Linked DNA regions of Caenorhabditis elegans. The protein of the gene in region 1 interacts with the protein of each later gene in a biochemical or structural test. Each region holds a gene or a part of one and is shown on either strand. Other genes may lie near its edges.

Region 1 (3,923 bases):
TAAATTCTGAATCAGGAGGTCAGATCGAAAACGGCGTACAGAAGATGTCAAGTGCATTGACCCTACTAAAAATGTCATCGTTGGGACCACCCATCCAATAACAGAAAGCCGGAAATGGGAATGCTCTTCAAAAAGTGAAACCGAGAAGAGAGCAAGGAGTAGAGGAGCAATTTTCGTCGTCGTCGTCGTAGACCTACTTTTAATCGCATCAAATATGTCTAGTACATACACATATAGACCACCCTGAGAGAGAAAGAGAGAGGACCCTCTTCTCGTATTTCCACACCTGAGTTGCATAACGTACACACCATCTTAAGCCCCTCGAAAAAAAACCAATGAGCAAACACAATGCTCAAGTATGAGCAGTATATTGATATTACTCCAAGTAAATCTTGACCATGCACACACACACACACACACACACACACACATCCGGTACGGGGGCTAGGTGACTTATCTCAGTATGTCATCGATAATTACCATAGTATGGTGTGCTAATCTAGCAAAATCTTGAACGCTCAATATTCTGGGAAACTCCATTATTCCATAAAATTGGGCGACACACCTAGTTAACTCTCGAGTTGACACCTGACAAAAAAAAGTGACACCGACCTCCACAGTGCGCATTGTTATGCAAATAGCACGCGGGTTCGCATACCGTTAAAATGATCAGCAAGTATTGAAAAGAAAGACGGGTGTACGGGGAGGTCGACTACTTCTAAAGTCTTAGGGAAGTAACGTAATTTCCTTTACACCCTCAAACTATTTTCCGAAATTGAAGACGTATATCTCAGTTGTCTTTTGTTTTATCAAAAAGTGTTTTACTATGAAAATGTAGAAAAATATTTTTTGCATATTTTTTTAGTTAACCGTTTTTTGATAAAATCAAAAAGAACCGAGATATAAGCTGTCAAAGTGGAGCGCTGCCCGACTCCTTGGCTTTACTTTGACGTTGTAAATCTCACTTGGTTTCAAATTTATCAAAACATTTTCTACTACAAAAATGTAGAAAAATACTTAGCGCGTACTTTCCTATTTAAAACTTTTTTGAAAAAAGTTAAAACAAGCGAGATTTGCATACCTAATGGAGTAAAAACGAAAAAACGGCTAAGAAAAATTGCTCAACTGCTAAAGTCTAAAATCAATTCAAATCTCAAATCACCCTCGCTCCTTTCAAATTCTAAAAGACGGACATGGGTAAACAAGGTGAATTTGAGAAGCAGGTGTACCAAGCACCTCTCTCCATTAAAGAATTTCTAGTGGGGGTCCGGTGTATGCGGCAAAACAATGCATCCGAGATAACGACTCCCTCCTCCCGTCACATTTACAATTTATAAGATGAAGAGCCCTGGAGTTTTCGAGCATCTGCGGAGCCTTATCGGCGAGAACCAAACAATAAGTAGTTTCGAACGTTTCACCCCTGATTACTGTTTGCTCAACTTGATAAGATAATAGGTTACCGCGAGCGCGGGAATCGTACTATTAAATGTAGACTTACAGTGAATTTGTAGAGTTCCAGTAGACAATGTGCTCGTCTGCAGCGGCCAGTCCGAGTAGCAAAAATGTTGTTATTAAAAATTCGAAGAATTGTTTCATATTGCTGAAAATTGAAAAATATAGAAAATTGGGTGTAGGAACAAACTAAAAAATAAGTGAAAAATTTTTAAAAAGAAAAGTAAGATAGCATCGGAAAAATTGAGTAAGGCACAAAAATGAACAGGTAAGATGAAAATAGGTCTAAAGTCTAAATGTTTGTGTGCACACACATTTGATGAAAAGGGGGTGAACTGACCACTACTATGCAGTAGGAGACACGCGTCTCCGGAGAGCGCGCAGAGAAAATGAAGGTGGTGGCGGAGAAGGCGGGACTTACAGGGAAATAAGACGGGGGGGGGGGGGGCATCTGTTGGGACGGGTGTCGTCGGGGCGGGAAAAGGCAAGAAGAAGTAGAGGATTGAAATATGAGAAGTGAGTGAGAAGCCAACAGGACCGTCTCCTCCGGAAAAAGAGCCTATTAAAATGAGGATGAGCTGGATGAAGACGAGCAGTAGAAGTAGAAGAGCATGACTTTTTTTTTTTTTTTGAGAAATGAAATGGCAGCAATTAAGTCGTGAGAAGAGTTGAGAGCTAATCAAACGGGGAATAGGGTAAGTTGGAAGGGGAGGGAAAAAGTTGGATATTTTCAAGAATTTTTTTAAAAGTTCTAGATTTTCTGAGAATTTTAGAAAAATTTTTGAACGAATTTTTCCAGATCTTTCCAGAAAGTTCTAGTATTTTTGTGGCATTTTTTTGTACTTTGTGGGATCAAAATAGCTAACCCTTCTGCGTTAAAAATTAGTTTTTTTTTTTGATAAAGAAGAATTTAAATTCTGCTTTTTGCGGCAAAATTTTTATGGCAATAGTTTTTGAAAAATTGAAATTTTGGTAAAACTATATAATTTTGGAAATTTACAAAATTTGCGCCAATAAATGTAATTCTGTAAAAATTAAAATTTCAAATTTTGCGCCAAATTTACTAGAAATTTATTTTTCAAATCAAATTCAATATTCATTTATTCACAAGAAAAAGGATTTCTCATTTTCCAATTTCAAAAAAAAATAGGTGGGAAATTACAAATTTTCTTGAAAATTGTATCTTTAAAAATGTAGAAAATAGGTCATAGGTAGGTAGGCAGGTACAAGGTAGGCAGGCACGCAGGCATCGGGAAGGTGGGCATTAAAATGTTCAAGAACTTCCAAAAAACTTTTTAGAAAGTTCTAGATTTTCTGAGAATTTTTAAAAATTTTAGAGAATTTTCAATGATTTCATAGGATTACCTGAAATTTTTACAGGTTTAAAAAAAATTGAAAGAATTTTTCAAGAATTTTCCAGAACTTTCAAAAACTTCCAAGAACTTTTTGAAAAGTTCTGAAAATTTTTGAGCATATTTTTTTAGCATTTACTAGAATTTTCAAGGGTTTTCATGTTTTTCAGAAGGATTTTCAAAATACTTTAAGACATTTTTATAATTTCCAAAAATTTTCCAGAAATTTCTGGAATTTCCAGGAATTTTGGAATAATTTGTTAGGATTTTCAAGTTTCCCAAAGTTTCAAAACTTCCTAAAATTTTAGAGCACTGCCTAGAATTTCAGAAAATTTTCCAAGGATTAAAACGAATTGATATTTTCGGTACTTGTGTATTATACTTTAGGAATAGTGTTTTCCTAATTTTAAGCCTAAAATTCCACACGTTTTTATTTAAAAAGTTAAAAAATTAATTTATAAAATGGCGGGGGTATAATACACAAGTACCATATTTTCATGGATTTTGGAGAATTTTCCAGAATTTGCTAAAAATTTTCAAAAATTTTTTTTCTGTATTTCAATTGATTTTCTATAATGGTCTAGAATTTTCACAAATTTTCAAGAATTTTCCAGACTTTTCTATAATTTTCTATAATACTGAAGTCTTCCAAGTTTTTTGAAATAAATTTTCAGAATTTTCAAAGATTTCAAACCTAAGTTCTAAGCGGTCGGCAGGCGGGCAGGAGTAAGGTAGGTACTTCGGTAGGTATGTAGGTATGCTGTGTGCACACAGGTAGGTAGGGGGGGGGGCAGGCGGGTAGGTATAAACTAGGCATTTAGGTAGGTGTGTTTTGCTTCTAAATATTCAATTTCTTAGATATTTTTCCCGCTTAAAAAATAGATTTTCAGATTAAAGCATAAGATATTCTAGAACACAAATTGTTTTTCTCCTCTGCCCAAACAAAATTGCATACATCCAAATCTGGATTGAAACGGAATCTAATCAACTAGTTTAGATCTCCAGTTACGTCACTACTAGAATATTTGAAAATAGTCGCAAATTTGTTTGCCCCCCCCCCCCCCCCCCACCTCATCGTATATTTTATCATTCATTTTTACACTCTCCAATCACAAAGGG
Region 2 (3,923 bases), 2.4 Mb from region 1:
GTTGTTGAAAAAATGGCTTCAAAACTGAATTTTAATTTTTCCAAATTTTGAAAAGTTTTAAATTTGAATTTCCCACCAAAATTTCTGGCAAAAATTGAGTTAAAATTCCACACCAAATTTCGTTAGAAACTAAAAAATTGAATTTTAACTTCCCGCAGAATTTTTTTTAATATTCAAATTTTAACATTCTCAGGGCATTTTCCATGCTGAAAATAATCCAATGTGTTCTGGAAAAATTAACGTTTTTTATTCCTATTTTTTTATGCGCCAAAATAATTTTTTCACAAAATTGTTCAAAAAATAAAATTCGACTTTCCCACCAGTATTTTAAAATTCTAAAAATCATCTAAAAACTAACATCCAAGCCTCAAATGCATTTTGTTCGAAAGTGCTGTTCCAAATATATTCGATGCGAAACATTGATAATATCTGCAATATTTTTTGGTTTTTTTTTCCAAAAATCTGAATTTCTCACCCTTGATGACTAGCATGAGGTTTTGTAAAAACAATTGATCCAGATTGACTTTCTTTTTCCCAAAGAACATCTTCGGAATCAATGACGAATGGCTCACCGTCTTTGAGCCAGGAGTATCTGGAAATAGAGTTGATAAATGCCTGCCTACATACCTACCTAATTACCTGCCCTAAATAGCTACCTACGTGCCTGCCTACCTTCGAGGTGACCTTTGCCTGTCTTGTGCCTACAACCAAAAAACACATACTTTTATTGCAGAAATAGTTTATTTATATAGGCATAAATGTCTACCTGCCTACCACATGGGAGGCCTACACCTGCCTCATGTCTTTCGGTAGGCGCCTGGCAGGCGACGGTTTTTCGCAAACTTTTCACAGCTATTTTAAAAAATGCTCTCGAATTCTCTCAAAAATTTTCATCAAATTCTCAACAAAAAAAACAAGATTTCTCAGTTTCAGACATGAAGGCACGTAGGCACGCTATTTTAAAAATGTATACCTATAGGCAGGGCCTACAATATACAGGCGCCCAGACATAAGCTGCATAGTGCGAAGTACCTTCAACCAAACCAAAAACTCAACTAAAAAAACCGAAAAAGTTAAAAAAAAATAGGCAGTAGGCAGAGCTGGAATTTGTAGTACCTACTATGCCAGTAGGCAAGCAGGCATAAAAATGTATTGTTCACTAGAGGCGTAGGCAAGTAAACACGAGGTTGGTGGTGCCTACTAGACACCTGCTAGGCACAGAGGTACAAGGCACGTAGGCAGGTAGGCACCTAGTAGGTGCCTAGGTAGGCTTGCATGTTTTACGCAGCACCTGTCAATCCCAAATTTCCACCCACCTGTCAGTATTCTCATCTGCCTCGCAACGAAGTGTCAACCTGTTTTTGAGGAGATCCTCATCATCTAAATGATACCACACCTCTTCGCCTGATTGTTCTAGAAGCTTCGGGGGACCTGGAGTTCACAGTTTCAGACATTTTAAAGTTACAAAACTCTTACCAATACTATTTTTTTGTGCAGCAAATACCTGAGTTATTAGAAGAAACTGTGCAATAACTAAACGCATTGTTGGAAAAATCCAAAAAAAAAGTCTGCTACCAAAAATCTACCGACGTCTCAGGATATGATGCATTATAGGCAGGCAGTCTAAAATGTTCGAAATTAATCAAATAACGAAAAAGGAGGCGGAGTCACGGGGCGGGGGTATGATTATGGAGTGTCCGCGGGGCGAATGTCAATGAGATGCAAATCATTGACAGAAATTGGAGCCCGTCTGGTATTTGGGAAACGGGGGGTGAAGAGGGGGGAATGGCATGGTGCATGAGGGTGATCGAATATTGGAGAAAATGGTGAACACTCTGTAAGCACGTGGAGTCAGAAAGTCCCATTTCGTTTTGATCTTCGAAAAATGCGGGAGCTGAGACGCAGACATCTCATCTGATTTTGCACTGCTGTGCTGACGTCACAACTTTTCTGGAAAAATATTCCCGCATTTTTTGTAGATTAAGCTGTAATGAGACAGCCTGACACCACGTATTTAAGTAGTCTTTAGAAATGCTCCTGGAGCGGATTTTTCTTAAAATCTTTGATTAATCTAGGGCACGTGGTGCCAGGCTGTCCCATTACGGTTTGATCTACAAAAAATGCGGGAGTTTTTTGCCCTGAAAATGTGACGTCAGCAAGTTCTTGAGAACTCTGCGTCTCTTCTCCCGCATTTTTTGTAGATCAACGTAGATCAAGCCGAAATGAGGGATATATTTTTTATTTTTTGAAATTTTAAGAATACTCTTTTTTTAGGGTCCTCCTAAATTAAGAAAAAGAGAAAATTTCCAGTTGAAAATTTCCAGAATTTTCGCTCTAAAAATACAGTCCCTGGTCTCGAAACGATGTAGTTTCGAAATTTGCCAATTTTTATAGTTTCTCAAGCAAAAATATGTTTATTCATTTAAAAACTTAAATATTATAGAAAATAAAAAATCATGTGAAAAACTATGCATGAAAACTCGAAAAGAAAAATTGAAACTACAGTACTTTGTAAAGGCGCACACCTTCTTGCATGTAATAAAAAAAATATCAAAAATTGTCGCTTCGAGACCCGAGGTACTGTAGTTTTGAAGGGAAAATCGCTAAATTTTGTGTCTGGGTGATAGTTTTGAATTTTTTTGGAACTTTTATTTTCTGAATTTTTTTTCACACTTTTAGACCCCGTAAATCTACACCAACACTTAAAAAAAATTTTAAGCTTGACTAAAAAATTTCCGATCCCAAAAACCTTTTCAAAATAATCAAAAATCTACAAAAAAAACTGCTCTCGATCGGAAAAACGTCGTTTCGGAATAATAAAAAATAAAGTATTTTCGGTAATTTTTTCAGAAAAATCAAAACAAAAAGTACAAAGTAAACAGAAAAACATCGCCTGCAGTGGCTCCGATATTTTTTTGGTCCCAGAAGTCACAGAAATTGCACAAGAAAAAATCTTGTCTTATCCTCGGCGTCATGGACAATCGAGCCAATCAGGAAGTGAGAGAGTAGGGGAGACGAAGAGACGCAGAGACACAGGAGGGGGGCCCTACAGGAAGACGATGACTGGAGATGGCATGGAAAAAGATGAGGCAGACTATCATCTGCTATTCTAGTTTTGAGGAGAGAGGGAACTGATGTTGATGATGGACAATGAAACTATTTTCAAGTGGCGAGTTTTTGGGATTTTGGAAATTTTAGAAAAAAAGATTGCTTTTATTTTTGGAGAGATAAAATTTCGGATAAAAATATACGCATGGTGGGCCAGACTGTCCCATTACGGTTTGATCTACAAAAAATGCGGGAATTTTTGCGCAAAAATTGTGACGTCAGCGAAATCAGTTGATAACCCTGTGTCTCTTCTCCCGCAATTTTTGTAGATCTACGTAGATCAAACCGAAATCGGACGCTCTAACACCACATATATGGCAAGAAGCTTGTAAAATTACTGAAACAGTGGATTTTTCCAGAGTTGCAAAATTTTAATGCTCTTGAAAATGTGAAAAAGTAGATGAAGGACATTTTTTTGTTTCGAGAATTTTTTTAATTTATCGAGAATTGAGAAAAAATGTGTCAATTTTTATAGGTTTCTCACGAAGCTTCCAGAAAATTTTCACACCCCAAAAACTCAAAAATTTTCTGAAAAATTCCGCCAAAAAATTTTAAAGAACGTTTCTACGAGGTGCAGCTGTGAACAAAATACAATATTCAAAAATATAAATATTTCAAACATAATTTGATCATAAAACCGGAAGAAACATTTTTTGAACCCGGGCTTCCAAAAACTCGTAAAACAGAGTTTCCCAGTTTTTTGGCTCAAAATTGAAATAAAAACTTCTAGAATTTTTCAAAATTTAGTCCAATAATTGATAATTTTAATACGGTAGAAAAGTAGGTACCGGGATGTGCGGTAACCGAGATTTTCG

What was found.
Region 2: the proteins of efn-4 (region 1) and lad-2 form a complex in vitro, tested with the Caenorhabditis elegans proteins (one study listed by BioGRID).

Annotation. Positions count from the first base shown.
Region 1 is NC_003282.8:556,911-560,833, reverse strand, and holds the start of efn-4 (Ephrin-4), read right to left. Parts: upstream 1,601-3,923; 5' UTR 1,597-1,600; coding exon 1,499-1,596; intron 47-1,498; exon of another isoform or gene 1-46. UniProt on the Caenorhabditis elegans protein: Regulates the formation or stabilization of cell-cell contacts at several stages of epithelial morphogenesis. In early embryonic development, involved in ventral closure of the epidermis.
Region 2 is NC_003282.8:2,976,856-2,980,778, forward strand, and holds the start of lad-2 (Neuroglian), read right to left. Parts: upstream 1,630-3,923; 5' UTR 1,544-1,629; coding exon 1,477-1,543; intron 1,432-1,476; coding exon 1,317-1,431; intron 593-1,316; coding exon 476-592; intron 430-475; coding exon 359-429; intron 1-358.